Oryctolagus cuniculus: one gene and its partners. The protein of the gene in region 6 purifies or fractionates together with the protein of the main gene of each other region. This does not show direct contact. Links are inferred from orthologs where the notes say so. Each region holds a gene or a part of one and is shown on either strand. Other genes may lie near its edges.

Region 1 (4,172 bases), on a different chromosome or scaffold from region 6:
CTCACCCCTACCACACACACACACACACACTCGAAAATTTTAACTTCCAAACTATGCGAGATCAGAAAATCACACACACAAAGCTGACCTCCGGCCTCCCCGCTATCTGCCATCTACTGCCATCTACGAGACCCGCGATTTTAAAGCCGCCCCTGCTTTCTTTTGTCAGAAAGGAGGAAGGTGGGGAAAGAACAGAAGGCCAGAGCATCTTTGCCTTTCTTCATCTTCTACTAAAAATAAGCTATGAAATAAGCCACTTAGGGGAAAAGAAAAAAAAAGACACCCTGCTGTTCTTTGTCTGTTTTCTTCTCCCTCTGTCCCCCCTCCCCGCCCCACTCCTAAATGCCGTAATCATTCTAGATGCCACAACTACTCAATGAACAAAAGGCACCGTATGGAAAAGGCATCAGGTCAAGTTAGGCCTCACTCTTTTCCTCAATCTGTTAAAAATTTATGTACGTACATAATCTGACATCGATCACAAACAGCTGGAATTCTCTGCCCCCCATCCCAATCACACATTAAGTAGAAATTTGCATTAGGTGTGACAGTAACTCTCAATTCAAGGTAAAAATAACTCATTTCTACCACCATGTCATTTCCTAGTTTCTAAACAAAAATAAAACCCAAAACTGCTTTGTCTAAAATACACCCACAGTCATAGTTACAACCTTATAAAACTCCAATATTACTGGTATCATTCACATATTGACAAAACAATCCCAGCCATAAACACCTCACAGTTGATTTCACTTGTGCCTAGCCATGTGTTATTTGCACATTATACTCTATCACTTGCTTGTGTCTAATCCCTATGCCCACCCCCCAAAATCTTAAAACTCCAAACCCTAAACTCAGAAGTTCACCTACTGTTCCTAATTCCTAGCCAAGTCTTCCCTGGGTGAGGAGAAAAACATCTTAACAAAAAGATTATTAAAAAAAAAAAAAAAAACAGTAATAATCTCTTGCCCAGGCAACTTCCCTCCCATCCCCCACCTCCAAACCATATGCAAAAACTACTTTTAAAAACTTCTGCAGATCCCATCACTGAGTGTTTGACCATCATCTATCCCTACAAAGAAGTAAAACAGTCGATCGGAAATGGCAACAAATAAAAGCCAGGAAGAATTCACCTGAAGAATCTGGCCCGGCAACCTGAGTTATATAAACAAAACCCTGCAACAGGGGGCAATGGGGGGGATGGGGTGAGGGCCAAAGACAAACAGGAGACACTTTTTTTTCTTAAACAGCCTTTCACACCCTACCCCCTAACCCCCCCCTCCCCAGGGCTTAGTTGTTCCCCACATGAGGGCCCCCCTCAATCTCTAACTTATCCCCTCCAAAGCCAGATTCCTTGATTTGTCACAGGAACTTTCGCGAATTTCTCTAGCTGGTCATGAAATAATCAGCCTGGACTCCAACCAGAACCCTTGCCTGCTGGGGGGGGTGGGGGGCTCCCCCCCACTGCAACCTCCAGGGAGAATAAAGTTGGGGCGGGGGCAGGGCGAGTACTCCCCAGGAACCTTAGCCTCACGCGGGGAGTTCTGCTTGGGTGGGTGGTTCTCGGGGGGCTGTCTCCTAGGGAGGCCTGCTCTCCCTGCCCCCAGCTGTCACAGCCACAACATGGAGGGAGGCTGGCCGCAGGGCCCGGGGGTCCTCACCGCACGCGAGCACGGGTGGGATAGGCTTTGTCAGGAGGGTCCTGCCAGGACCAGCCACCGCACCAGGAGTCCCTCATTTAAAAAACACACCGAGCTCTTTATTAGCAAAGGGGGCCCTGCGCCGACTACTCTCTTCCTAATATAGAAAGGAATTAGGGATAAAGAAGGTCGCTGGAGTTACCCCAGTTCAAGAGGCATTGTGAGAGCAGGGAATGGGGGCATCTACAGGGAGAAAGGCCTCCCTCTCGGGAAATGTCTGCCTGGAGTCCCGAAATACAGAGCGAACAAACAGAAAAGAGAGACCCTGACGGTGGGCCCAGCGGTAGACAGAGTGAGGCGGCTGGTCCTGGGGGAAGAAAAAAAAAAAAAAAAAAAGAGGCCGTATTGGGAGCCCCAAAGAAAAGTCACGGGCGCTGGAGGGGCGGGGGGGGGGGTTGCAGGAAGAGCAGGAGCTACGCATATTGTGGGGTGCTGCAGATAAAGGGGAGCTGAACAGGCCCTCGCTTCCTGGGAGGCGCCGGGAGCCGCCGTGGGCGCCGCGGGAGGAGGGGGCAGTGGCCTGGGGTGCCCCGGGGCCCTCGGCCGAGCCTCAGGGGTCCCCACGCCGGCCCCCCCACCACAGCCACGATCCCCCGCCTCGAAGGATACAGCTTGACCACGTCCGTGTCCATCCGCCTCTTGCCGGGACTGGGGGATGACATGGTGTCGCCGCCGCCTCCCCGTCGCCTGCGCCGCCGCTGCCTCTCTCCGGTCCTCGGCCCCGTCTGTCAAGGGCCCGGCCCCGGCTCTGAGGAGCCCGCGGCCGCGCCGGCTCCTCGGCGGAGGTGGCAACACCCCCGATCCCGTCGGGTCCCGTCGGGTCCCGTCAGCCGCCGCCGCCGCCCCCCGCACGGGGGAACACCGGCCCGGTTCGGCCGAGTGGGGGTGGGGACCCCGCGGCGCCCGGCTCCGCCGCTCTCTCCGGCTGTGGGGCCGCCCCGGCGCCCCGCCGCGCCACGCTCCCTCCGGCCCGCTCTAGCTCGCTCGCCCGATCGCCACTCGCCCGCGCACCCCTCGCCGACTCCTGGCAGCCTGCACGACAGGCGGACGACTCCTGCTCGGTCGGCCTCTCTACCCCAGCCTCGCTCTGGACGCCGTGACGTCACCTCTGTGACGTCATCCGAGGGGCGGGCCCGGACGGCGAGAGGGGTGGGGCGCCGCCGCGCCGTGGGCTTTCCCGGGGACTTATGGGATATGTAGTTCCTCTTTCTCCTGCCCTCTCCGTCCTCTGTCCCCTCCCCCCAACCTTCCCCACACACTTTGTCGCTCAACCGCCAATGTGTTACCGTCGTCCTAGACGTTCATAGTAAATAATGGCAACGTTATGACACCCGCGTGTGTTTTAGGGAATGAACCGCCTTCGCACACAGTCGGCTTTAAAGGCTGTTTATTTGATTTGGGGGAGGCCAAAGTGGCAATTATTCAGACAGACGCCCAGATCTGGAAAGCCCCTGCCCTCCTCAGGTGAAGAGAATTTGCAGGATTGCAGAGGAGAGCAAGGCTTCCCCGCAGTTTGCAAATCAGGGCCATTACCTTTCACGTGTTCAAGGCCACGATTTCAAGGATCAGAGTGGAGGCAGCAAGGTGGTAAGGCCAGAAACAACTTAGAACTAACACCCTTATTCAGAATTTGAGATCACAAGGTGAGCGACCCCTAGAAGCTGGGACGGCTCGAATATGCTAGAGTTCACGGCAAAGATTCTCCCATCCTCCAAACGCCTGCACGCACCTCTTACACTGCCTCGGTATCAATAAATAATAATAATTAAGCCCCTCCTGGGGGCTCTCACTTTGGGGGACACGAGGCTATCGTGAGGAACTAAACAAGGCTAAACGCGCACAGCCCTCCCAGTCTGTGTGAGCTACGGCATGAACGTCACCTGGGAACTTGTTAGAAATGCAGACGTGAGCTTCCCCTCAAACCTATGAAATTAGGAGGTGCAGCTTAACAAGCTCCCCAGGTGATCCCTGTGCACAGTGAAGCTGGAGAGACAAAGAGGGCAGGAGACAGGGTTCCAGGCATCGCCCATATCCATGTCAGCTTTCCTGAAGTTTCCAGCTGTCCCCTTGCTCCTGTGAATCCACTTGTACTTTGTCAGCCCCTGTGCTGGGGGCTGTGTCCGCTTACGTAACTGCCTACACACAACGCGTGCACCTGGGCCAGCAGCCATCGGTGAAGTTGAATATTGTCTGCTCCTACAGTCCCATCCCTCAAAAGGCCTGGCTATTTTTTTTTTTCACTGCTAAATGTATATAACGTAAAATTTAGCATTGCAGTATGTAACTCGGAAGCATTAAATAGATTCACCGTGCTCGAAGCCATCGCTACTCTCCAGTTCCAGGACTTTTTCATCACCCCCAACAGAAACTGTGTACCCATTAAATAATAAGTCTCCATTCCCTCGGCTCTGCAGGGGGTGACCTCTCTTCTGTGTTCTGAGAACCATGGGCTATTTTAACTGCTTCCAACGG
Region 2 (4,007 bases), on a different chromosome or scaffold from region 6:
AAACCAAACAAGGCTGTGGAAACCCACCTACCCAACTGAGCCCGATATCTGTGCTCACCTACCTGAAGCGCAGAAGCCCCTCCCGGCCATTGGTGGCCTCTTCCTCGGGGAACAGCAGCAGAGGGGTGGGAGGAAGCCTCGTGGAAGCACAGAATCTCTTGAGGGACTCCACCAGCTCCCCCTGCCCGTCCATCTCCATGAAGCCCCGAGACCAGCACACAAAGCTGGGGGGACTGTTGAGTAGAGGCTGGGGACCGCGGAGGAGACAAAGCAAGAAGAAACCCATGGAGGGAAATGAGGGAAACTGATGTGAGGGTAAAGGAGCGGGATTAGGGGAAAGGTTCTGTATCGCCCAAGGGAAACCCGACGGGGATAGGCGAGCCTTGAGCTGGGTCCCCAGGAACTGCCCTGCGGGGCTTTGGCCCCCACTCACGGTGCTACAGGTGGTGAGCAGGTTGACGATGTTGTGGTCGAAAGGTGTCACGTGATTGGAAATGAGGACCCTGACGCGGTGATCCCGGAGTCCAGAGTCCTCCTGGCGGGCCACGAGTCCCAGAACCGCACACATGGTCCGCACCACGAACCTGGGGACACAGGCGGTAGTGACGGTGCGGCCTCGGGCCGGGCCCACTCCTGACACTCTCCGAGCCCCCGAATTGGAACCTGCGAAGGACGCTGTCTGGCAGCGCGCAGCTGACCAGGAAGACGTGGATCCCGAGAAAGAGGCGCAGGACGAGGAGGCAGAACCCGACGGGCGCGTAAAGCAGCAGCGCGAGGAGCAGGAAGCCGTCACCTGGGAGCCTGCGGGAGAAAGGCGACGTGATCGGGTGCCGAAGGTCGAGACGGCCCGGGAGCTGGCTTCTTCCCGCGAAAGCTCTTACCGGTGCGAATCAAAGAGCCGCTCCGGCCCCGGTGCCGGGGGAGGCTCCATAGCAGCTGCTTTAGGGGTGTCCGGCCGTCGCCGCCGCCATCTTCGCGCCCGGCCGCAGGGGCTCCTGGGAAGGCGGAGTCTTTGGGCATCCGCCCAGGGTGCTGGAACCCGAAGTCCGGAGGCGCCCCGGAAGGGCTAGCGGTCCCGGCATGCCCCGCGGCCCCTTGGGCCGCCTTGGAACTCGCGTCCCTCGGGAACCACAATTCCCGGCATTCGCGGGGCGGGGCGGGGCGGGGCGGCGTCGACTTTCCGGGATCCTGCGTCCCGGCGTGCACTTCTGGAGGACTTCAGATACCGGCGTGCGCCGCGTCTTGCTGTCCGCCCGCTTACGTCCTGGGCACCGCCTCTGAGAAGGGCGGGCGAGGAGGCAGCCGAGGCGGAGCAGATGGCTGCGCTGAGGGCGGGGCGGGGTGCAGGCTGGAGCCTCTGGGGATTGCGGGCTTTGGGGGGCATTCGATGGGGGAAGGGACCCCTGTTGACCTCTGACCTGCGGGCTCTGCTGACGTCAGGAACTCCTGACCTCCGGGCCCGGATGACCTATGGGACCCCCAGTCTCCGGGCCCGGTTGGCTGTGGGGGTCCCTGAACCCCGGGCGTTTCTGACGTCTGGGTCCCCGGATCCCCGGCCACGACTGACTGCAGGGGCCCCAGATTCCAGGCCGCGGGAGGCCTCGGGGACCCCTGGAACCCGTCCACGCGTGTGGCTGGCGGTGGCGCTGGGCGCTGGGGGGGCGGTGCTGTTGTTGTTGTGGGGCGGGGGTCGGGGTCCCCCGGCTGTCCTCGCCTCAGTCCCTGCTCCGCCGCCAACCTCTCCGCGGAGCCAGTACAACTTCATCGCAGACGTGGTTGAGAAGACGGCACCTGCTGTGGTCTATATCGAGATCCTGGACCGGTAAAGACAGGGTTGACTGGAAGGCACTGAAGCCACAGGCCTAGAGGCGGGCAAGCGGTGGTGGTGGGGTGGTCAGAGCCTCCTTATACCCAGGCCCCCTTACCCCTGCGGCAATCCCAGGCACCCTTTCTCGGGCCGCGAAGTTCCTATCTCAAACGGCTCAGGATTCGTGGTGGCGGCCGACGGGCTCATCGTTACCAATGCCCATGTGGTGGCTGATCGGCGCCGAGTCCGCGTGAGGCTGCCTAGCGGCGACACATATGAGGCCATGGTCACCGCTGTGGATCCCGTGGCAGACATCGCCACGCTGAGGATACAGACCAAGGTGGGGGTCGGGGGGGGGGCGGGCAGGCCAGGTTTGTGTGGAGTTGTCTTGTAGCTCCCGTCACCAGATGACAGGTCTCCTGTACCCGTTCTCCCTTAGGAGCCTCTCCCCACACTGCCTCTGGGACGCTCGGCTGATGTGCGGCAAGGGGAGTTTGTTGTTGCCATGGGAAGTCCCTTTGCGCTGCAGAACACGATCACATCTGGCATTGTCAGCTCTGCTCAGCGCCCAGCCAGAGACCTGGGACTCCCCCAAACCAATGTGGAATACATTCAGACTGATGCAGCTATTGATGTGCGTCCTGATGCAAGGGCATTGCATTGGCAGACTAGGTCCGGGCAAGGGTGAGCTGGGTGGTACAGGTGCCAACTGAGGGGTGGTAGAGGTTGGGCTGCAGAAATGTGGCCACACTCATGTATGGGTTGGGGAAGCAGAGAAGTTTGGAGAGAGTGCCTACCTCCTGTGTGTGTCCCCAGACTTAGAATTCCCAGACCTTTCCCATGTTTTCTCCTTGTGCTGCAGTTTGGAAACTCTGGAGGTCCCCTGGTTAACCTGGTGAGTGGGACATTCTTCTTCCAAGGCCCCAGGTCAGTGTGAGGAGGGGAGGGGCTTCAGTAATTCTAGGATGTTTGCTTATGTTTCTGAGCAGGCTCTTGTTGCCTGTCTCCCAATACAGATTCCCCCAACACTCCATGCTTCTACTCGTGTTCCGGGGGCCCCCATCCCCTACTATCTGTTTGGGCTAGGGAACAGGGGGCTGTGTCCCTGCAGGATGGGGAAGTGATTGGAGTGAACACCATGAAGGTCACAGCTGGAATCTCCTTTGCCATCCCTTCTGATCGCCTTCGGGAGTTTTTGCATCGAGGAGAAAAGAAAAGTGAGGCTGGCTCAAGGGGTGGGGGTTCCCTTTAAGAGCTGGGTGGGACATTCTTTGGGACTTGCTGGAGGGGGAGTCTGTTGTGAGGGGGAAGGAAGGATGTAGCTGGATGGGGCTCATTCATCCCTGTATCACAGATTCCTGGTTTGGAATCAGTGGGTCCCAGCGCCGCTACATTGGAGTGATGATGCTGACTCTGACTCCGAGGTATGAGCATTTGGGGTCATGACATGTGGGACCACCAGTAGAATCAGTGGTGAGCAACTGGCACTTCCGTTGAGCTTGGTTTGCTTTCTTTCCTGACTTTATCTAAGATGAGCTGTCTCACATTCGGGGCTCTCCCAAGAGCTGGCCCCTCTCATCATCTTGACCTTCTCACCTCACTCCATTTTGTACACCTGTCATAAGATTGATTTCATCCTGTTCCTGTGTTCATTTAAAGCTGTCAGTTAGCCTGGCCTGTTTTCCGTGTCTCTAAATCATCCTTTCAGACCTGGGTCCCATTACTTCCTATGTGAATACTCAGTTCCAGCCAACCTGGTTTCCTGCTTCGTGTTTTTATTTATGCTGATCTTGTTTTACATAGTTAATAGACCCATCTTTCTAGGCTCAGCTTAAGTTGTACTCGCTCCTTAAAGCTTCCCAGGATTCTAGAGTGACATTAGTGCTATTGATTTAACACTGGTGTCATTTGGAATTAGTTATCTTTCATGGACATGTCCCACTTGTGAAACACAAGGAGGCAGAAAGTGATCAGTCGCCTTTGTACTGACCGGTACATGTCCTGTCCATACACGTGTCAGCGTGATGGGAGGCTTGAGATGAACTTAGGAGAGGGCGGGTGCGGCAGTGTGGCTACCAGGGTGATCCGTGTCCTTGCAGCATCCTTGCTGAGCTACAGCTGCGAGAGCCAAGCTTTCCTGACGTGCAGCATGGCGTGCTCATCCATAAAGTCATCCTGGGCTCCCCTGCACACCGGTAAG
Region 3 (4,122 bases), on a different chromosome or scaffold from region 6:
TACCAAAATGTGTGAATGTTCAAGTCCCTTATATAAAATGGTGTAGCACTGCATTTAACCCACACACATCCTCCCTTACATTTTAAGTCAACTCCTATGTATCTATTTGATAGGCTTGGAGCAGTTACCGTCTGCTGCTAAGGTTTTCACTACAGATGCACGAAAAAGGTGTCTTTGCACTTTGTCTGACTGTGGCAGCCAAGACTGAAGAGAGGCAGATGGGGTAGGAGAGGTGAATCATCTCTAGATCACTTACAATTTCAAATACAATGCAAACGCTATGTCAATAGCTGTTATATTATATTGTTTAGGGAATGACTTTTTAAAATCTATACATGCCCAATACAGACATTTTTCCTCAAATATCTCTGACCCACAGTTGGTTGAATCCATGGATGTAGAACCCCAGGATATAGAAGCCTGCCTATAGCCCAGACACAGCAGAGTACTTTCTTATGGTGGGGAGGGAAGGGAGAAGTGGGAATAATAAAGGAATATGTAATTAAATATAAAAGAGAAAAGGCCCTGCATGGACCAATTAAATGATTAAGAACTAATTATGATTAATGTAATTAAAATTTTAAGATAAATGAGCTGGGCAAACAACTACCTGAGGGGGGCGGCATTGTGGTTAAGCTGCTGTCTGCAACACCAACATCCCACATGGGCACTGGTTCGAGTCCCAGCTGCGGAACTTCCAATCCAACTCCCTGCTATGGTGTCTGGGAAGGCAGCAGAAGATGGCCCAAGTGCTCAGGCCCCTGCCACCCATGTGGGAGACCCAGATAGAGTTCTGGGCTCCTGGCTTCAAGCTGGACCTAGCCTCAGCCATTGCAGCCATTTGGGGAGTGAACTCGTGGATGGAAAATCTCTCTCTCTCCCTCTTTTGAATACATAAATCTTTAAAAAGAAAAAAAAACTGCTTGTGGGTTTTCCAGAGCCCAGGTTAACTCAGTGTGTCCAGAGCGAGCCGCTCTGCCCGTCACAGTCGGCCATCTTCACCAGGCACAAGGATGAGGAACTGTGTGCTTGTCTTTGACAACCTTCGTGATAAAGGTAAGTGCTGGCGATTGTCATTTCATGTCCATTCACCCTAAGTCTTTCTCCCCAAGGCCTTACACATATAGAGATCACCCAACAGGACGACTGCTCCAAAACACACACCAGATCTTGTCACCCCTTGGCTCAACAGTGCCATGGTTTCAGATAAGTCCTTTGCAAATACCCATGCACTTCCTTTGCGCGTGTGCCTATTTCTAGAGTGCCTTCTGCACTTCTTCACATGGAGAACTTAAGCAGGAGTTTAATCACCAGTTTTTCATGAAGTCAATGAAATCTGTGTCTCCTGTTTTTGCTTCATAAACGTATCCCGGGAGCCCATGTACTGACTGTCCCCATGCTGGTCTCTGCTGTCGGACTATGAGCTACCCAAGGGCTGGAGTCCCTACCTTTGGCGCCTAAACCAGGGCTGGTCCACGGTACTCAGAACGCGTTTGCTAATTAAATGGCACAGGACTTCCCAACCTTTGGCTTAGAGGGCCTGCGCTCACATCTGTGGAAGGTGAGCAGAGACAGGACTGAAATAAAATTCCCACCAAGGCACGTATGGGGGGACCCCGCACCCACACTTCAGCAGCCTGAACAAGGAGGGTTCCTGGAATGGGGAAGAGAATCTGTGAATCCCGAGGGAACTGATTCTGGCAATTTCGTAGCCCCCACCTCTAACCCCTCCCGGCCCGACATATGGTTCTCACTAAAACCAAGACTGGCTCCCGCTCAGCCTGCAACACACTCCCTCTTCGGTCCCAGCTCTGCTCGACCAGTCTCTGCCGCTGACCCCTGCTCCAGTCACCCGATCCCTATCCCACGGCCCCGTGCTTTCCTTCATTGCACACCCCCCTTCGACGATGCACATTTTTATTTTATCCTTAACCAAAACCGGAAGGAAGGAAGGAAGGAAGGAAGGAAGAGGCCACCGGGTCCCCCGGACAGTAGCCTCGCCGGGATTTCACCTGCATTAACCAACGAACTCATCCTTCCAGAGACCCTGCTCACGAGCCCGGCCGGGCCCCGGCCCGCACCTGGTTACCTGCCACCCAGCCGGGTCGCACGAGGCAGGGACGCCCGAGTCCGCGGCCCGGGGCCGGTCTGCGGGACTCCCGCTCCCCGTCCGGGCCGACGACTGCTAAGAGGACAAACCCAACGGCAGACTGGGGCGGGGGCTTCCGGAGGCTGAGCCTGGGCCAGGCAGCCAACCGAGCTACCGCGCGCCGCGGCCCTCCGCACCGCCGGCCGGCGAGCCCCGCCCTCAGGCCGCAACGCCTGGCCCAGAGGCCCGCCCGCGCTCACCTCCGCCTACGGCCCCGGCTTCCGGCGCCGCCGTCTTCGGAACCGGAAGTGGCGGCGGTGGCCGGGCGGCCCCGGGCGCTCCCACTCGCGGATACGCAGAGGGGTGGCCGTCCCGCAAACCGCCCCCCCCGCGCACCAGCAGTGAGGTCGCCCACAGGAGCTGGGGGACCGCGGTCAGGCGCTCGCACCCAGCCCTTCGCGGCCCAGCCCTTCGCGGCCCAGCGTAGGACAGAGCCATTCGCTGGCCGGCCGGGGGCCCGGCAGAGGCGCGGGGACTCGCCCTGCCTGGTGCCCCGCACGGAAGACCCCAGCTCCTGTGCCTCCTCCGCTCGCTGCGAACAGTGCTGTGCATCCTAGAGGCCCACCGGTTAGTCTGTGCCCTTGGGAAATGTCATGGAAGACAGAAGCCCTGGAGTCCGGCTGTGGTGTAGCGGGTTAAACATCCTCCCCATCCCCCCAACGCCGCGTCCCATATGGGCGCGGGTTCGAGTCCCGGCTGCTGCACTTCCGACCCAGCTCCTTGCTAATGGCCTGGGAAAGCGGTGGAAGATGGCCCAAGTCCTTGGGCTCCTACCCTCAAGAGACCTGGAAGAAGCTCCTGGCTCCTGGCTTCGGCCTGGCCTGGTCCTGGCCTTTGCGGCGTGACCTAGCAGATGGAAGATCTCTCTGTCTCTCTGTAACTCTGCCTTTCAGATAAATAAATACATAAATTTTTAGGGGGAGAAAAAAGCAAAGTCCTTTTTTGGTGCCCCAGCCTTGCGGATCCCCTCAACCTGAACTTAATCTGCAGAATCAGATTCCGCGGCTGCCCTGGGTGGGAACACACCAGCCCCCGGGGAAGGAAGGCTGACAGAGGAGGGGGGAACCGAACCCAGGCCTGGGCCTAGTCTAAGCTCCACCCAGGCCCGTTGGCTCTGCGCGCACCCCCCCCACCCCGCCCTCGAGGAGCCGGACTCTCCCGACTTCCGGCTGCCTTTTTAGGCCAGCCTCATTCCAGGTTCGCCTCCCCTTGCACAATCTCATTTTCTTCGCACTTGCACAAGCCACCTTTGTTTTCTGTACAGCATTTGATATGATCTCGTGTGTTTATTTGTTGTTCCTGACTTCTGGCGCTTAGCCCTGCCTCCACCACTTTTGGGGGCCGGGGAGGATGGCTTCCCCCACACCAAGTGCTTGGGGCAGAGTGGATGCTCCACGGGGAGACGCGGAGGTCGTAGGTTATACAGAGGAAACCTTAGGCTGTATTGCAGGGAAGGTGCGCGCGCCGCGAGCCTGGGTGGTCCTGTCCCACGCGGAAGCGCGAGGGCGGAGAGGAGTGAGCCTGGCCCGGGGCTAAGGGGCCCCGGAGCCCTGCCCAGCTGGACAGGACCGCACAGGCTTTCACGCACGCCCCGGGCGCCCCCACTTCCGCTCCAGGCCTGGCTGCTTGGAGAACTTTGCCAGTGCTGCTCACGAGACGTTCCCAGCGTGTGGCAGTCCTGTGGTTTTTGTTGGGATGGGGTCGGTTCTTGGAGCTGTTGTTCACGAAAATCAGTGTCTGTTGAAAAAAAATTTTTTTTGCCAGTTTCCTAGTTTGATTTTAAAAATTTCACTCAGTAAATAATGTCTATATTTTATTTTGGAGGAGGTGGGTACTTCTGTGTGGTTATCCCAGCACCTCCTGTTGAACAATCCTTCCTTACCCTCTCCTTTGAAGTCCTTTGAAGCCCTTTATCTTTTTTTTTTAAGATTTAAAAAATTTATTTTAAAGAGTTACAGAGAGGGGAGGCAGAG
Region 4 (4,177 bases), on a different chromosome or scaffold from region 6:
TGGGGGAATGAACTAGTTGAGAGGAGAGCTCTCTTTGTCTGCCTCTTAAATAAAATGAAAATATATAAACAGTTTTAAAAAGCCTTCAGGGATGGGCGTTGTGATACGGCAGGTTGAGCCACATTCCATACAGTGCTGGTTTGAGTCCTGGCTGACTATTCTGTGTTTCCTATCCAGCTTCCTGCTAAAGCGCCTGGGAAGCAATGGGTGAGGGCCCAAGTACTTGGGTTCCTGCCGCCCAAGTGGTGAGGGCCCAAGTACTTGGGTTCCTGCCGCCCAAGTGGGGGACCCAGATGGAGTTCCTGGCTCCTGGCTTCAGCCTGGTCTAACCTTGGCTGTTGTGGGTATTTGGGGAGTGAACACTCTTACTCACTCTCTGTCACTCTGCCTTCCAAATAAATGGGTAAATCTTAAAAAATAAAAAATCCCTCCAATAAGTATAAATTTCCTATGTGTAAATGCAATAGATGGGGATAAAAGTGAAGGATGCAATAACTTCCCATGATAGGAATTTCAGAATCACAGAACTTTCAGTTTAAGGCAGCTTACACGCTAGCCGAGCGCCCCACAACACAGACAAGGAGACAGAAGTGTCAGGCTCTGCCTAAGACAGAGAAGAGCACCACAGCGTCGCTGAGGAAGCAGGACAGGCTGAGTCCACGGAGGGACAGTCCCCAGGAAAGAAGAATCATTCCAAATGCTCAGAAATCCGCTCAGGGCAGGGGCAAAGGTCACTGGCCGGGTGGGGCTGGTCACTGGTAAGGAAAGTGTTTTCCACAGTAGCTGCAATCATGTTATTTCATAACTTAAACACCTGCTTTGTCACAATCACTGGAAAAAGGGGAAACGGGGAGAAAAAGGAGAATGAGAAAGAAAAATGAAGACTCTCCCCTCTGATTTCCTAGGTCTGCCTAAAAGAGGGTGTCTCCCTGATGCTGACCTTAATGAGGACCTTCTTAAAGCTGGTCCAACTGGTGTGCAAGTTCCTGGACTGAAAAACAAGTTTATGGGCAGCGCGGTCACCTGATTCTGACCATGTGTGTGCTGTTTACCCTGAGATGACAGGCTGGTGGCCACCACCACTCTGATGGAAGCTGGAAAGACTCTCCTACTCCTCTGAAGCCTACCAGGGCCTCTACATGACTCAATGCCATAAAAAGGAGTGTGAACGGAGGGAAGTCACACACTACACACCAGTGGGAAAACCCCACTGCGGGTGCTGAACCGTACTTGTTACTTGTTTTTCTGATCTGTGAGGCATGTAATGACATCATCACTAAAAAAAAAAAAAAAAAAAAAAAAAAAAGCCCCTTGCTTTACCATTAACACCCCTACTTGCTCTCAGGGCCTAATGCTCAGACCAGCCATGGTCAAGGAACACAGAAAGCCCAGACCCATGGGCTCAGCAGCTCGCAGGGTCACGGTGTCAGCCAGGAAACTTCGAACTCTGACCACCTGGAACAGTTTCAGTGTTGGGGAAAGAGGGTGCTACCGAGGGGCTTACCCATCTCTTCCTTTGCTGACAATCTTCACCTCAAAGTAATAAATGCCACAGGCTGCAGGGATGGGGTGCGTGGCGCGCACCGAGGCTGCGTCTTTGTGATTTTTGCCATGACCTATAGGAGAGGGCAAGGAAGAAATTTCAGGAGAAGGAAATGCAGATGGGAAGCCAGAGGACACTCTTACAGTCTCCAAGGAATACCTAGACAACTGAGTCAACACACACACCTCCTCCTGAGCCGCTGTCCTCCCCCCCAACAAGGGTAGACGCAATACGGGTGCACGTGAGGGACAGCCAAGTGCTACCAGCAGTCTCTAGAATGCAGGCAGCCCACCGGAGAGACCAGGGGAAGAAGAGGGCAGACCTGGAAAACACCTCCTCCACTTTAGCAGAGAACCCCTGGCCTAGTCCTGGATGACTGGCAGGCAGGCAAGCCCATGGGGCTCCGGCTAATGGTGGAGATGTGACCAGCACACTCCAGAAACTAAGCATTGATAAAGGACCGAGCTGGCGCTGCGGGAGGCAGCCCAAGACAAGCAAGGAGGCCCTGAAGTGGAAGGTCCAGGCCAGCACTGGGTTTGGACACCTGTTGCAGTTCTCTTGACGCTGGGGGTCTCGGGCAGAGCAGAGCCGGCAGTCAACCCTCGGCCTGGTCAGCCCCAGCACACTGGACATTCCACAGGGGCTAAGGCCTAACCCAGAGCACCCACGCAGGGAAAAGGCCGTGATGGGGCAGGTGTAGGCAGCACAGCCACAGCCGTACCGCAGATGCTCTGGCCTGGTCCCCCCGTGGTCACACGGACGATACCTTTGTAGTGGACGCGGAGGTTGCCTTGGGAGAGGCCGATGTAGTTGTACTTGTCCTTGGGGCTCCAGGAGCGCGGCAGCGGCGTCTCGTGCTGGTTGACCGCGGGGTACAGACGCTGCAAGCGTCGGCTCAGCTCCTGCTCCCCCGGGGACGGAAGCCCGCCCCCAGCGCCCCCACCGGAGGAGTCTCCAGGCTGCGGGTTCCCAGCTCCCGGGTCTGCCGTCGCCGCCGCCATCTTGGAGGGAGCTGCTATTGTGTCACTGGGGGCGGGGAGGAGCAGGACTAGATCCGCCCCGCTCAGCCAATGGCCCGCCAGCCTGCCGGGGCCGCAGGGAAACCGAGTCCGAGTCCGGCACCTCTCTTTGGACACTGCCCCTCCTTGCCACACTTTGGACTTCAAATCCCACAATGCACAGCTCTCCGGAGGCGGGCCGGTAGAGAACTATGGGAGTTGTGGTACAAACCATCTCAGCCATGAGCCTGCCCTACTGAGATGCTGGGGCATCAAAAACTACAGTTCCCGCCAGCAAATCGGAACCGGGTCTCTCAGCGCCCCTCCTTCCCCCGAGGCCTCGGTTCATGCCCCTGATTCAGTTCTGGTAGTTGGGGTCCAACGCACTGCAGGGACCGGCTCTCGGGGCACCCGGCTCCCCAGTCCGAGTCCATCTTTGCCACCTGGCCTTCTCCCAGCGGGCGGGCGCAGGGTCTAGAGGCGTGGCACAATCTTGGCCCCGCCCCCGCCGCGGGGCCGCTGGGGCCTGGTCGTCATGACAACGGGCTGTACACTACCACAGCTAACCAGGCGGCGGGTGCTGGCTGCCCGCTCGCCTGCCTGCCTGCCCGAGTCGGGTAATGGACTCCTCACAGTCGCGGTGCTGCAGCTTCTCGTCTGTGTCGAGGTAGGCGCCGGGCGGGCTGAGGACAGAGAGGAGGGTTTGAGTACCTCCAGAGAAGGAAATGGCATCTGGAACAGACCTCTGAACCTCCTGCTGGCCTGTGTCCTTCTGTGTGAGGCTCTGGCCCGGACACAGCGGTGCAGAAAGCCCGGCTGACTTAGCCCACTGAGGACGTTACCTGCTGGCAAAAGGGCGGACGCATTTCGCCAGTAGTAGTAACTGCCAGCTTGCACTGAGCGTGTTATATATGCCGAGTGCGTTGTATACCACATTTAACCCTCACAACGACTCAATGAAGAAGTAGTATCACCACTTTACAAATGAAAAAGTAGCAGTGTGGAGAGATGATGTCTTTTACCTACATGTGCGGATAAGTAGTGGAGTTAAGATGTGAACCCAGCTACGTCAGACTTCTGAACTGGAACCCTTAGCTACAGGGACAAACTATCTCTTCACCCATGAGTTAGTTGGATTTATGACAAAGATATTTGTTGAATTTAGGCTGACTCTAAGCAGCCTAGGCATATCTCACAGCCTCTTCAAGTAGCTCCAGATTCAGGGGTGCCGCCTCCAGGCACTGTAAAATATGACACAAGTCCCATTGATCAGGAAAGCCGCCTATATGGATTCACACAAAAATTTCACCTAAATACCTTCCTAGCTTCTGAACCTGATAGAAGGCCCTTAAAGTTACAGGCACTGGTTTCTGTATCTCAAACAGGAGGATGATACATTGTTGGGAACATTTAGCAAGAATATGGGAAGCTGTCACCACTGCTCTTGCACATAGTAGGCATTCAGGAAATTTTAAATAATATAGTTTGCCTCTTCTAATTATGGCCAATGCAAAAAATCCTGACCTCACCTGAATTCTCATCCTTCAGGGTCTGCTCCCATGAAAAGCCCACAAGAGTCCCCTAAAACAGGAAATGCCAATTTACCTGTTTTATCCAGAGGAAAATCAGTCTGCAA
Region 5 (4,072 bases), on a different chromosome or scaffold from region 6:
CGATACCCCGAACCAGACCCAGACAGCCTACAAACAGTTCCTCAGCGAGAGGTCCCAGACACCAGCATCCCATCATGCACACCGAGGCGGCAGTTAACTTCCCCAGTGAGCTGCCCCTTCACACCCCGCCGAGGCGCCCCAGGAGAGCCGGGGCAGAGCGCAGGACCCCCCCCCCCCCCCCCCGCAGAGCCTGTCCTGGGGCGTGAGGCGCTTTGTCTGTGGACGGAGTGCTGGGCAAAGCGGAAGGCAGTCGTCCACATTCCTGTACCACAGGAGGCACCAGGCACAGACAACGGGCCACTGACTCGGGGAAGGTGAGGGTCACACAGGGCCGAGGGGGAGACCAGCACAGCGCGAGAACACCCACCACAGCAGCTCGTGAAGGAGCCTGCCCGATCCCCTGCCTCGGTTCTTGTCAAAGGCGTATGCGAATATCTTAGCACCATTTCCGTCTGCATCTACTTCCATGCGGGCCTGAAAAGAACAAGGAAAGGATTGGTAAAATCCTCCAATTTCCAGATCCCTCTTAGAATAATCGAATGAAACAAAAAAGCCGGAAGACAGGGCCCAGCCCGTTTCTGGGACCTGGGTGTCTGTGGATGCAGAGGCCAGCTATGCCCCCTCAACCACTCCACCTTTCACTCACACAAGAAACGCTCACACTAGCGGCCGGCACTGTGCGTGGCAAGTTCAACCACCACCTGTGGGGCCAGTATCCCATAGAAGCGCAGATTCTAGTCCTGGCTGGTCTACTTCTGATCCAGCTCCCTGCTAATGGCCTGGGGAAGTAGCAGAAGATGGCCCAAGTGCTTGGGTCCCTGCACCCACGTGGGAGACCCACAAGAAGCTCCTGGCTTCAGCCTGGCCCAGAGGATGGAGGATCTGTCTCTGTCTCTCCCTTTCTAATGCTGCCTTTCAAATAAATTTTAAATAACCTTAAAAAAAACCCTCACTCATAAGCAATTATTTGTGAAGTTCTATGGGCGCAGAGACAATTTCCCACCAATAAAAACCCCCCACGATCCCGTGAGAAAGGGACACCCTGGAGAAGGAGCTCCTGCAGAACTGTGGGGCCCTGTGGCCAGAGCACCAGGGACCACTCGCAGAGGTCGGAGGCAAGTTCCTTACAGAGCACCTGGGACCGTGGAGAGGACTGGGTAAGCTGCACTAGGGACACCTGTCAGCAACAGGACAAAAGTTGATTTAACAGCAGCCAGCGACCAGGGAGGGTGCAGGTCGGCCAAGGCCAGCGTCAGAAAGGCCACGGAGACTCCACCGGCTGGCACCAGACATCCACGTGCCGGGCCTCTTGGACCCAAGCACCTGCACTCCGCTCGGCCCTCCCGGGAACACCCCATCTGCGCCCTTACCTCGAAGGAGTAGCTCTCCACCAGTGGGATGTCTTGCTCATCTATCAGCGTGTACTTGGTCTGCAAATCAACCACATTACAGAGCGTTACACTTGGGGTCTGCGCCTCATTACAGCCAGGGGGCCTGGCTCTGCAGCACTGCGTGTGCGGCAGACACAGCAAAGCCACAGGAGGAGGCACCTGGCTTCAAAGGCCTCCCACACAAGACCGCCCCCGATAAAGCTGGCCAGACCTAGTGGGCTGCCCTGGAGCAGGGGCAGAGTACACACCAGGTTTCAATTTGTCTGTTAAGCTGGGCAAGGGGTGCACAGGTGCTCGCCCAATCACCCTTTTCCAGTTCAGTCTGCCTGGAATGTTCCGGATGAAAGATTTGGGGACGTTAATGCAGCCTGGAGAGGGCCAGAGCTCCAGGGGAGAGCCCGGGACACCCCCAACAACACCAGCCTCACTCCTGCGAGATCTCTCCTAGGATCGGAGCTGTTTTACCTTCACTTGAATGCAGACTGCCTCTCAGTCCCTGGATATAGGGACCAGGCTTCCATCAGGGTAAGGCCCAGGCTGCTGCAAGGCGGAAACAGCCAAGCCTCCAGGCCCACTGGTGCCAGAGGCCTCGCCTGCAGCCTGTGGAGGGCGGAGGCCGGGCTAGGGGAGAGAAGTCGAGGGAGCCCTCGAGTTCACCAACACCGGGGTTCCGGCTTCCTTGTCCTGCGCTGGGGAAGCCCACGCTCAGTGCAAGCTCAGAGGCCCCCATCAGACCCCCTAGCAAGAAGGACTGAGGTGGCGCTGCCCTGGAAGGGGCGCCGTGTTCAAACCGCGCGGCCGCAGGTGCAGCCCTGGCGCCGGGCTGGGCCCAGTTCGGAAGCCCCACATGGGAGAGCGCCAGACGAACGCGGCCCGGGCACGGGCGCGCATCTCCGGCCCTGGTCCTAGACCGGGCCCCGGCGAAGGCGGCAAGGGGCGCGCCCCACCGACTTCAAGAGGCGGCCTGCACCGGAGCGAGGCCCCGCAGCCGGGCCCGCGCAGCGCCCCCGCCCCGCCGGCGCCCCTCCGGGGCCGGCGCCCCCGCCCTGGCCGCAGCCCGCACAACCGCCCCCGCCCCGGGCCCCGCGCAGAGGCCAGGGCGGGCGGGCCGGGCCCAGCCGCGGGCTCCGCGCCGCTCACCTTCCCGGCCACCCGGCCGAGCCGCACGATGCCCAATTTGAAGTCGGTCATGGCCGGGCCTGCGCTCTCGGCCGGCAGCGCCGCTCCCTCGGGAGACACCGGGCCGAGGCGAGGCCACGGCGCGCCCGGGCGGGCCGGGGTCGGGGCCGGGGCCGGGCGGGCTCCGGGCGGGACGAGGCTGGGCCGGGCTCGGGCCGCCGCCGCCGTCGCCGCCACCTCGCGCCCGCCGGACCTGCCACGCGCCGCCGCCGCCGCCGTCGCCGCCGCGCGCACCACCGCGAGCCGAGCCGAGGGGCGGGGCGCGGCGCGGGACACACCCCCCGGCCCGCCGCTGCCCAGCCAATCGCGAGGCGCGCCGTGCGCCGGCTGGCGCGCGCCGCCGCGCAGCGACCAATGGGGGAGAGGAGAGTGCGCCGGCGCGCTGGGGAGCGGGGCGAGCGCGGGGGAGGGGTGCGGCCGGGGGCGGCGCCTGCGCGGCGGGCCCGGCTCCGACGTCAGTTTCGCGGGAAGCTTTGTGCGGGCAGCTACGCCTCGCCCGGGCGGTCCCCGCTGTGTGGCGTCCACGTGGGTCCGCTTCGCCGTCGTCTCCCCCGGCCGGGCGACCTGCTGCGAGCCTCTGAGGAACCAGCCTGAGGAGGCCTCCGCGCCCAGCCCCCCGGAGCCCGAAGGTGCCGGCCACCCGGGCCTGGACCGCCCCGCGGCCCCGCGGGGAGGCCCGGGTCGCGGCTCCCGGACTCAGATGGGGCGCGGCCCCAGTGGTGAGGGGCGGCTGGAACGGCGCGGCCGGGGCCGCCCGCGGCGTGTCCTCCGGAAAGCCTCGGCCTCTCGGGGCGGGGTCGAGCTGGGCGGCCACGGCGGCGCGTGTCCGGCTGAGGAGCCGGCGGGGACCCCGGGCATTGAGGGGTCTGCAGAGGCCACCCCGCGGAGCCCCCTTTCCCGTGTGCCGGGCTCTGCTTTGCAGGCTGTTTTCTCAGAAAACCTCGTGACATCTGGGTCCCTGTGCCTCAACCTGCCAGGGGCGAGAGGCTGGGAGGCAGGGCCACCAGTCCAGCCTTGCAGGGGGGCAATGTGGGGATCTCTGCCCGCATCGTCTATGTGTGGCTCTGCCGGACCAGGCGCTGCAGGCGGCCCGGTGGCGCGGGGTGTGCGTGGGTCGCCCGTCCTTTCCGCCCAGGTGCGCAGTCAGCATCCAGGGAGGGCGAAGGGTCGTTCCTCCGCCCCAGCCCGGCAGCGGCCCCGGGGAGGGTCTCCCTGTGTGCCAAGCCGCCGCCTCTGCATGGCCTGGGGAGTTACCTGCGAGAGTGAGCCTTCCTAGGAAGCCGCCACAGATACAGTGGCATGAGACAGTGCAGCTCTTGGTGAGGTGTGGTGAACTTGGGTGGTTTCTTTTCTCCAAGTCTCAAGAGCAGTCGAGGATGGGGGGGAGTCATCACGGTGCTGGCAAAACTCAGTCCCACGTGGTTGTGTGAGGGCCCGTTGCCAGCCACCAGCAGGGGCCATTCTCGGCTTCTGCAGGGCGTCCTCGTCGGCCGGGCCCCCAC
Region 6 (3,500 bases):
CTGTTTCTCCAGAGTCTGCATGTGGACAACCTTGAGATTTAGAGTTATGATGAACTCAGAATCCGTGGTAGTCCTTCTGCTCAAAATGAAGAAAGCCTTTCCTAGATACCCCCCACCTTGTTTCTTTTTTGAATTAGCTGATGACATAAACAACCATTTCCCAGAGGGGTTCACATGCAAGCTATTTTTTAGTATGTGGAATGCGTGGATAGCCTTCATTAACCTGATAGCTTTGTCACACGAGTTTACTCCTATATTTTAGTCTCTTTGTTTATCAAGTTCCTTCTTTTTAGATTGTTGTACTTGCTTCAGCAAGAAACCTCAAGCACAGAGCTGAAAACTGAGTGTGCAGTGGTATTAGGAAGCCTTGCTATGGGTACTGAAAACAATGTCAAGTCTCTACTGGACTGCCATATTATCCCTGCCTTACTGCAAGGTATGTCAGGAAACCATTGCTCAAGTAAAGAGTAGAAAAGTTTGTAGTGTTTGAATACTGGTTGAAAAGGAAGATGAGTCTTAAATCTAGTTTCATCGATAGGACTACTGTCCCCTGACCTGAAGTTCATTGAAGCTTGCCTCCGATGTCTGCGGACCATCTTCACCAGTCCTGTCACTCCAGAGGAGCTACTGTATACTGTGAGTTTTATGTTTGAATCATCATACACTGCACTAACAGCCTCCTCCTGATTTGCCTCACATCTTCAAATTCATTGTAACTATTTTAGAGAAAAGTCTCAAGAAATATAAATTTCAAAAAGTTCATGGAAAATGTATTGAAAGATAAGTTTACCTTGGTACACAAATGTTTGAAATCTATGCACGGAGGAGGTTTCAAAAAGATCTTGGAAAACTTATCTTAAAAAACTGAGTGAATTCCAAAAAATTTTTTGCTTCAAACCAAATTCATTTTAAAATTCCATTTTCCATTAACTTTTTAAAGTACTCTCATTTTTTTCTTGCTTATTTGCAAATATCAAATCTTCTAAGCTTTGTAAAGAAGTGAAGGTCTCAGATCTTGAGGAATTTATGAACTGCTTATTTCTTTATATGTACAAATCAGGGAAGTATATCTTTGAATAAGTAAGTGATAGGGAGGTTTGTGCTCACTTTAGGTTAAAGTTCAGCAGAGTAGGGTTTGTAGAGAAGCGAGAATTTCATTTGGGCCTTGAATAATGGATAAGATTTTGAGAAGTAGAAATGAATAAAGCATGGGGCCGGCACTGTGGTGTAGTGGGTAAAGCTGCCACCTGCAGTGCTGGCATCCCATATGGGCACCAGTTTGTCATGTATCTGCTTCCTTCCAGATTGAGCATTAGCCGAAAGTTGGAATTGGAAGCAGAGGAGCCAGGACTCAAACCAAGCATGCTAATACAGGATGCAGGTCCCCCAAGTGATGACTTAATTGCTATACCAAACACCTGCCTCAGCCAGTGTCTCCCCCCCCCCCCCCCGAAAGCCTCAGGGGAGTGAACCCTTTTAGCCTAGCAGTTAGATTGCCTGCAGAGGAATGCCTATGTTCAATTCACAGCTTCAGCTTGTGATTCCAGCCTCCCAGCAGTGCAGACCCTGGGAAGCAGCAGTGAAGGCTCAAGTAATTAAGTTCCTACCTCCCATTTGGAATTCCTGGATTAGTTCCTGGCTCCCAGCTTTGCCCTAGCCCAGTCCCCATTCATTGCAGGCACTTGGGGAGTAATCTAGCAGTTGGGGGCTCTGTCTTCCTCTATCTCTCCTCTTTTCTCTGTCTCAGATTTTTAAAAAATTTCTTTTAGACTTCAGGGATTATGAAGGAGTCTTTTAATCTGTTGATTACATAGAATTTTCTTAATGGAAATTATGTAAGGGCCAGCATGGCCACATAGCAGGTTAAACTGCCACTTCTAATACCAGCATCCCATATGGGTGTCAGTTTGAGTCCAGGCTGTTTCACTTCCAGTCTAGCTCTCTGCTAATGCACCTGGGAAAGCAGTGGAAGATGGCCCAAGTCTTAGGGGCCCTGCACCCACATGGGAAACCTGAAAAAAGCTTCTGGATCCTGCTTCCATCTGGCCCAGCCCTGGCCGTTGTAGCCATTTGGGGAATGAACCAGCAGATGGGAGATTCTCTCACTCTTTCTCTCTAACTCTGCCATTCAAATAAAATGAATAAATCTTTAAATAAATTTCTTTATTAAAAACTATGCTAAGGTTTTTGAAATGCTCTTATCTATAGTCTACTGTAAGACATACTCATTGTCTCAATATCTATATGTAGAAGATGTATGTTTGTGATTTTTGAGAAAGGCCCACACACAATTGCACAAACGTGATACCTTCTGGTTTCTGTCCTGGTGTCTGTCTGTCCCTCTCTCTCTCATGCTAGTTGTACTTCTCTGTGGTTACACAAAGACCCAGACTGTCAGATTGGATACACATGAATCAGAGATCTTATCCAGAATCAAGCTGTATAAATATTTCAAGAGTTAAGCAGTTGAGAGGCATAGGCAAAGCAAGCATGGAGAGGGGCCTGTCCTGTAGCTCTGTTGTCCACCTTTCCTACATCAGATGCATATCCTCTGACCATTAAAGATACATAAGGTCTCTAAGTGAAGTTTGTGGATCACCACACACTGTAAGTAATATCCACATTTAAAGCACATAGATTTTTTTATTATTATTATTATTTGAGAGAGACAGAGAGAAAAGTCTTCCTTCCGTTGGTTCACCCCCACAAATGGCTGCTATGGCCAGTGCTCTGCGCCAATCCGAAGCCAGGAGTCAGGTGCTTCCTCCTGGTCTTCCATGCGGGTGTAGGGCCCAAGCACTTGGGCCATCCTCCACTGCCTTCCCGGGCCACAGCAGAGAGCTGGACTGGAAGAGGAGCAACCGGGACAGAACCGGCGCCCCAGCCGGGACTAGAACCCAAGGTACCAGCGCCGCAGACGGAGGATTAGCCTAGTGAGCTGTGGCACCGGCCAAAAGCACAGATTTTTACCTCAGAGTTTTATGAGACATTCAGGGATCCATGAATCATGAATCCACAGATTGGATACTGCACTGGTTCACAAAACTGAGTAAGCACCAGAATTACTTGGACCCTCCAGAGTTTCTGATTCAGTGAGTCTGGGGAGGGACCTGAGAATTTGCATTTCTAACAAGTTTGCAGATAACTCAGGTAGTTCTGGTTAAAGGATCACTCTTTGGGAACTGTTTGGTCCAAAGCATTCTGTCGAGGGCTTTTTTAGGAAAGAGCAGTTTGGTTTTCTGTAGGTCATATTGTTGCGTTAACAGATTAAACCAATCCTCTGTCTTTACCCTGAAAGTTTCTCCCCAAACCCAGGATGGTAATAGGGGGGAAATTGACCCTAGACAGCTGTTTTTTGTTTGTTTGTTGTAAAAATTTATTTTTTATTTGAAAGGTAGAGTTACAGAGAGGCAGAGGCAGAGAGAGACAAGAGAGATCTTGCATCTGCTGGTTTACTCCCCAAGTGGCCACAATGGCCGGAGCTGGACCCATCCGAAGCC
Region 7 (3,987 bases), on a different chromosome or scaffold from region 6:
TAAGTGTTTACAATTTTGGTTATTGTTTCATTATTGCCACCTATGTCAATAAATACTTGCTACTTTGTAGGCAAATGGCTTTACCTAAAATGAAACTTATTTAGGAAGTACCTTATCATGACTTCCTTGGCTAGTAAAGATAAAGCAATTCTCTGGGAGCAGATTTTAGGGCAAAGTGAAGGATAGTCAATCCCTTTCCAACACTTCCTCTGACACAAATCTGTAACTTGCTAATGGAAGTTCAGAACCAAAAATTTTCCATGTAACTCTGACTTCCACTTACTGTATTTTACTTAATCCTGCAGCATACCATTCATAGATGGGGTATGGCACATACCAACCTAGGAGACACCAAATTCTCAACTAAAACTACACAGCTCTTCAAAGGAAAAAAATGATTGTCCTTATCGTACAAGTTCAGCGCTTTGAAACCAACAGCACACTGCATCTATGAATGGAATGCCAAAGGATTAAGTAAAATACAGTAAATCAAAGTCAAATTTGCATGGCAAATGGAATTAAAAGATACAGGGTGGGCATTTGGCCTTGTGGCTAAGAAGCCCGTTAGGCTGTGCATGTCCTGCATCAGTGGACCTGGGCTTGAGTCTGCTCTCTGCTCCAGATTCCCGCTTCCTGCGACTGAGGATCCTGGGAAGCAGCAGGTGACAGCTCAGGAGTTGTGCCTCTGCCACCACACGGGAGATCTGGACTGAGTTCCTGGCTCCTGGGTTTGGCCAGACCCACCAGGCAATCCAGGGCACTTGAGGGGTAGAGCAGCAGATCCAAGGATATCTATCTCCCTTCTTTCATCCCTCTCTCTCATAAAACTCTTAATGTATAGAAGTTTATTTTTGGTACAAAAAAAGTTGAACAGTTTTCTCATAACAGGTTTTTTTTATTAAATTTTTGAAGATTCCTCTTATCATGAATTGAGATTTTCTGCACCAAAATAAATGTTTTAAATTGTTTTCCATGAACTTTAAGTGCCCTTGTACGTTTTAAAACATTATTTTACAAAAGTACTTGTTGAAATTATAACAATAGGTTTCTCCAATGTCAAACAATTCCCTTCTAACTCCATGACGGGTGTTCTACCCATTTTCTAATCAGCGGCCAAGATAACAAGGCAGTCACATTGAAGTCCCCATCCCACCAAACCACACCCTGCTTAAAATGTACCCGTTCTTAGAATGCACACCACACAACAAATAACGCAGGTGGGATCTGTGATACCCACATCTCACACCTACACCAGGAGATGATGGAGTGACATCCTGGGAGCTGCCTAACTGAAGATCAGAAAAATGTCTCTGCGGTTACTAAAGGAAGCGATACCACCCCCAAGTCCCAGCTGTCTTCGTATAGAAATACGCTGAGTATCTGCAGATCCAAGACTAAGTCGGCCCAGAAAATCCGAGGGCACGTGCCTAAGGCCTAAGGTGAGAAGAATGTCCACCTGGCTCACTCTCAGATTCCAGGTGGGTGCCAGCATCCACCAGAGACATGACCCTGCAGCAGCCATCCAGAAGGCACTAGGAGAGACCCCAGGTCACTTGGCACCCTTCAGGTGGTCCCACTGCCGGCCTGACGTCAACAGGACCACACTCCGGCAATCAAGAGCTAAGAGTCTTCTAGTTACAGCTCCACCTGGGGATTCTTGACTCAAGCAACCAGAGCAATCAAACTGGGGAAATTGCAGAAGTTAGTTTCAAAATTCCAGTGCGAAACGTATCTGAGTATGCTTTGCAGATCTAGTCACTTTGCTTGGGACGAGAAAAAAATATCTCACTCCAGGGTTTTTTGAGCCTGAGATGAGGGACCCTGGGAACAACCAGTACCTTTGTTTCTCCTACAGCACGCAACCCAGGAGTGAGAGAGAGAGAGAGAGAGAGAGAGAGAGCTCAGAAACACCTAAGGAAGTGCTGTCGGCGTCTCAGAAGGAACTCGCTACAAAGAAACCGGCGGTAGCAAGGCAAGGCAAGGTTTTTGACAACACCTGACCGGGATGCGAACCAAGTTGCCGCTGAAGTTGATCAAGGCAGCGTTTCCGTTCTAGCTGAGTTTCTGGGATGGGGTCCGGGTCTGTGCTCCACAAGCCCGCCCTCTCAGGAGCCGGGATGCAAGGGAATTCTTGGGCGCCGTCCCTCCTGCCTCCTCCCCATTCCCGGAGAACTTCGGCCAGCAGAGATGCCCCGGCCCGGCCCAGGGTTCCTCCCGCGGACGCGACTCGCCGACTTCTCGGCCCCCGGCGGAGCCGAGCTCTCTCCAGGCCCTCCTCTCCCGTCTCAGCGAGACGGGGCCGCCCCCGGCGCCGGCCCCAAAGCCCTGGGCCCCGCCGCGCCCCGCCGCGCCCCGCCGGCCCCCCGAACCGCGACTCCCCGGCCCGGGCGCCCGGCGCCGCCGCACCGGCTCCGGTGCTCCTGCGCGCGCCGGGCTGCTCCCGGGGCTCGCTCGCGGCAGCCTCGCCCTTCCCAAGCCGGGCCGTGCAGGGCTCCGGGCCCCGCTGCCCTGGGCCTCCCGAGGCCGCGCGTCCCCCCACCAGGCCCCAACTGGGCCTCTCGGCTCAGCGGCCCTCCAGGCACTGCCGGCCCGCCCGTGCCGACGCCAAAGCGCAGGCCAGCTCGAGCCCGGCCGGGCACTTACTCGGGGAGGTAGGTGGAGGAGAAGGAGCTCCACTTGTGCAACGCGTAGGGCAGAAGCCGGCACTCGGGCGCCGCAGCTACAGCCCCGCCGGCCGCCATCTTGTCAGCACCCGAGCGGCCGCCACCGACCGCCCGCCGCGCCGGGAGGGGGCGTGGCCTGCTCTTAAAGGGGCCGAGGCCCGCGCCGTCGTGTCCTCGGGCGTCCCCCGCCGCCCGCGGCTTGGTGGCCGCGTCTGGGCTGTGAGCGCTTGCGGGGCTCTTCTGGCGGGAGGTTGGAGGGGCTAGGGGGTGCCTTGCCAGGGATGGGGCGCAGAAGACGTCTTTTAGGAGCGGAGGTGAGGAAAAAAGCCAAGACTTCTCAGGAAAGGAGGCCAATTACAGTTGTGGAAGACGCACGAGGAAAAGGGCCGCTCCGGCCAAGTCGTAAATCCCTTAAGGAAACAGCGCTGAAAGGAGCTAGAGGGTGACGGCCCGAGTCCTGTCCTGCGGGGGCTGCCAGGTGAGTCGCAGGGAGACCAGCCCGGCGCCTGCCCCGTCGCCGGCAGCATTTCGGGGGCCTCCCACGGATCTCGGGGCACCGCTGGCTCCAGGCTGGCCTCGGCCCCCGGCGGAGCTGGTGAGCGCTGGGTGTCCAGCCCACCGAAATAGAGCCCCACACAGTGGAGAAGCGTGGGAGGCCCAGGCCAGCCCTTCCTAGACGGCGTGGGAAAGCTTTCGGGGCGCCCCCACCCCACCCCCGCCACTCCCCGCAGCGGCTTCTCACGAAACGGACGCGGGGTCGCGGGCTCTCCCGGGGTCTGGCAGCTGCAGCAGAGGCGCCGGCGCTGCACCTGCGCGTCCGGGCTCTGCGAGTTGATGTCTGGGCTTAGCTGCCGCGGTTGCCGGGCGGGAGGTGAGCCTAAGGGAGGTTGTTGGCGCGGGAGCGGGTTCCGGCGAGAGAGGGGGGTAGAATGTTCCCCGGGGGCCAGGACGGATGGGCGCCTCTCCAGACAGATCAGGGAGAGCACCCGTCTTTCAGCCTGGGCTCAGCAAGCTTACATCAGTTCACCGAGAGAATACACCGGACAGGTCCAGTGGGCTTGACCGTAAAGAGCTGAAATACACCTGCTACACCCTGCGGGCGGCTCAGGCAAGAGCTGAGCGCACCGGCTGCATTCAGACTTCGCCTCCCGCCTTTCTCCTCCCCCCACCCTCCACCGCCTTCTCCCGGACCAAGGGTTTCCTGGGTGTGGGGTGTTTGGAGTTCCTCCCAAGCTTTTAGTACCCAGTGTTAGCGGACTGGGGGCCCACTTGGCAGTAGGCAGAGAGGTCTCTCCTGGGATGCCTTCCTTGGGGGGCAGGTTCG

What was found.
Region 1: the proteins of ARMC8 (region 6) and UBE2H purify together in Homo sapiens (affinity purification with mass spectrometry; 3 studies listed by BioGRID and IntAct, with this or other methods). This does not show direct contact. The link is inferred for Oryctolagus cuniculus from reciprocal best matches to the Homo sapiens genes ARMC8 and UBE2H.
Region 2: the proteins of ARMC8 (region 6) and HTRA2 purify together in Homo sapiens (affinity purification with mass spectrometry; 5 studies listed by BioGRID and IntAct, with this or other methods). This does not show direct contact. The link is inferred for Oryctolagus cuniculus from reciprocal best matches to the Homo sapiens genes ARMC8 and HTRA2.
Region 3: the proteins of ARMC8 (region 6) and RMND5B purify together in Homo sapiens (affinity purification with mass spectrometry; 4 studies listed by BioGRID and IntAct, with this or other methods). This does not show direct contact. The link is inferred for Oryctolagus cuniculus from reciprocal best matches to the Homo sapiens genes ARMC8 and RMND5B.
Region 4: the proteins of ARMC8 (region 6) and RANBP10 purify together in Homo sapiens (affinity purification with mass spectrometry; 5 studies listed by BioGRID and IntAct, with this or other methods). This does not show direct contact. The link is inferred for Oryctolagus cuniculus from reciprocal best matches to the Homo sapiens genes ARMC8 and RANBP10.
Region 5: the proteins of ARMC8 (region 6) and ZMYND19 purify together in Homo sapiens (affinity purification with mass spectrometry; 4 studies listed by BioGRID and IntAct, with this or other methods). This does not show direct contact. The link is inferred for Oryctolagus cuniculus from reciprocal best matches to the Homo sapiens genes ARMC8 and ZMYND19.
Region 7: the proteins of ARMC8 (region 6) and MKLN1 purify together in Homo sapiens (affinity purification with mass spectrometry; 4 studies listed by BioGRID and IntAct, with this or other methods). This does not show direct contact. The link is inferred for Oryctolagus cuniculus from reciprocal best matches to the Homo sapiens genes ARMC8 and MKLN1.

The regions. Positions count from the first base shown.
Region 1 is NC_091434.1:166,117,153-166,121,324, forward strand, and holds the start of UBE2H (ubiquitin-conjugating enzyme E2 H), read right to left. Parts: upstream 2,801-4,172; 5' UTR 2,363-2,800; coding exon 2,310-2,362; intron 1-2,309. UniProt on the Homo sapiens protein: Accepts ubiquitin from the E1 complex and catalyzes its covalent attachment to other proteins. E2 ubiquitin conjugating enzyme that transfers ubiquitin to MAEA, a core component of the CTLH E3 ubiquitin-protein ligase complex.
Region 2 is NC_091433.1:128,427,726-128,431,732, reverse strand, and holds the start of HTRA2 (serine protease HTRA2, mitochondrial), read left to right. Parts: upstream 1-1,207; 5' UTR 1,208-1,316; coding exon 1,317-1,822; intron 1,823-1,942; coding exon 1,943-2,147; intron 2,148-2,246; coding exon 2,247-2,479; intron 2,480-2,623; coding exon 2,624-2,702; exon of another isoform or gene 2,703-2,734; intron 2,735-2,796; exon of another isoform or gene 2,797-2,918; coding exon 2,919-3,024; intron 3,025-3,161; coding exon 3,162-3,231; intron 3,232-3,906; coding exon 3,907-4,002; intron 4,003-4,007. Other genes in the region: lipid droplet-regulating VLDL assembly factor AUP1, read right to left, coding at 63-584, 664-801, 882-931.
Region 3 is NC_091437.1:63,737,203-63,741,324, reverse strand, and holds the start of RMND5B (E3 ubiquitin-protein transferase RMND5B), read right to left. Parts: upstream 2,801-4,122; 5' UTR 2,702-2,800; coding exon 2,350-2,701; intron 2,342-2,349; exon of another isoform or gene 2,082-2,341; intron 1,553-2,081; exon of another isoform or gene 1,449-1,552; intron 1-1,448. UniProt on the Homo sapiens protein: Core component of the CTLH E3 ubiquitin-protein ligase complex that selectively accepts ubiquitin from UBE2H and mediates ubiquitination and subsequent proteasomal degradation of the transcription factor HBP1.
Region 4 is NC_091449.1:51,057,176-51,061,352, forward strand, and holds the start of RANBP10 (ran-binding protein 10), read right to left. Parts: upstream 2,801-4,177; 5' UTR 2,545-2,800; coding exon 2,310-2,544; intron 1,617-2,309; coding exon 1,505-1,616; intron 1-1,504. Other genes in the region: TSNAXIP1 (translin-associated factor X-interacting protein 1), read left to right, coding at 3,162-3,208. UniProt on the Homo sapiens protein: May act as an adapter protein to couple membrane receptors to intracellular signaling pathways.
Region 5 is NC_091432.1:237,722,169-237,726,240, forward strand, and holds the start of ZMYND19 (zinc finger MYND domain-containing protein 19), read right to left. Parts: upstream 2,801-4,072; 5' UTR 2,583-2,800; coding exon 2,532-2,582; intron 2,205-2,531; exon of another isoform or gene 1,857-2,204; intron 1,431-1,856; coding exon 1,371-1,430; intron 475-1,370; coding exon 368-474; intron 1-367. UniProt on the Homo sapiens protein: May be involved as a regulatory molecule in GPR24/MCH-R1 signaling.
Region 6 is NC_091435.1:143,486,184-143,489,683, reverse strand, and holds part of ARMC8 (armadillo repeat-containing protein 8), read left to right. Parts: intron 1-293; coding exon 294-436; intron 437-538; coding exon 539-636; intron 637-3,500. UniProt on the Homo sapiens protein: Component of the CTLH E3 ubiquitin-protein ligase complex that selectively accepts ubiquitin from UBE2H and mediates ubiquitination and subsequent proteasomal degradation of the transcription factor HBP1.
Region 7 is NC_091434.1:167,346,877-167,350,863, reverse strand, and holds the start of MKLN1 (muskelin), read right to left. Parts: upstream 2,801-3,987; 5' UTR 2,742-2,800; coding exon 2,644-2,741; intron 1-2,643. UniProt on the Homo sapiens protein: Component of the CTLH E3 ubiquitin-protein ligase complex that selectively accepts ubiquitin from UBE2H and mediates ubiquitination and subsequent proteasomal degradation of the transcription factor HBP1.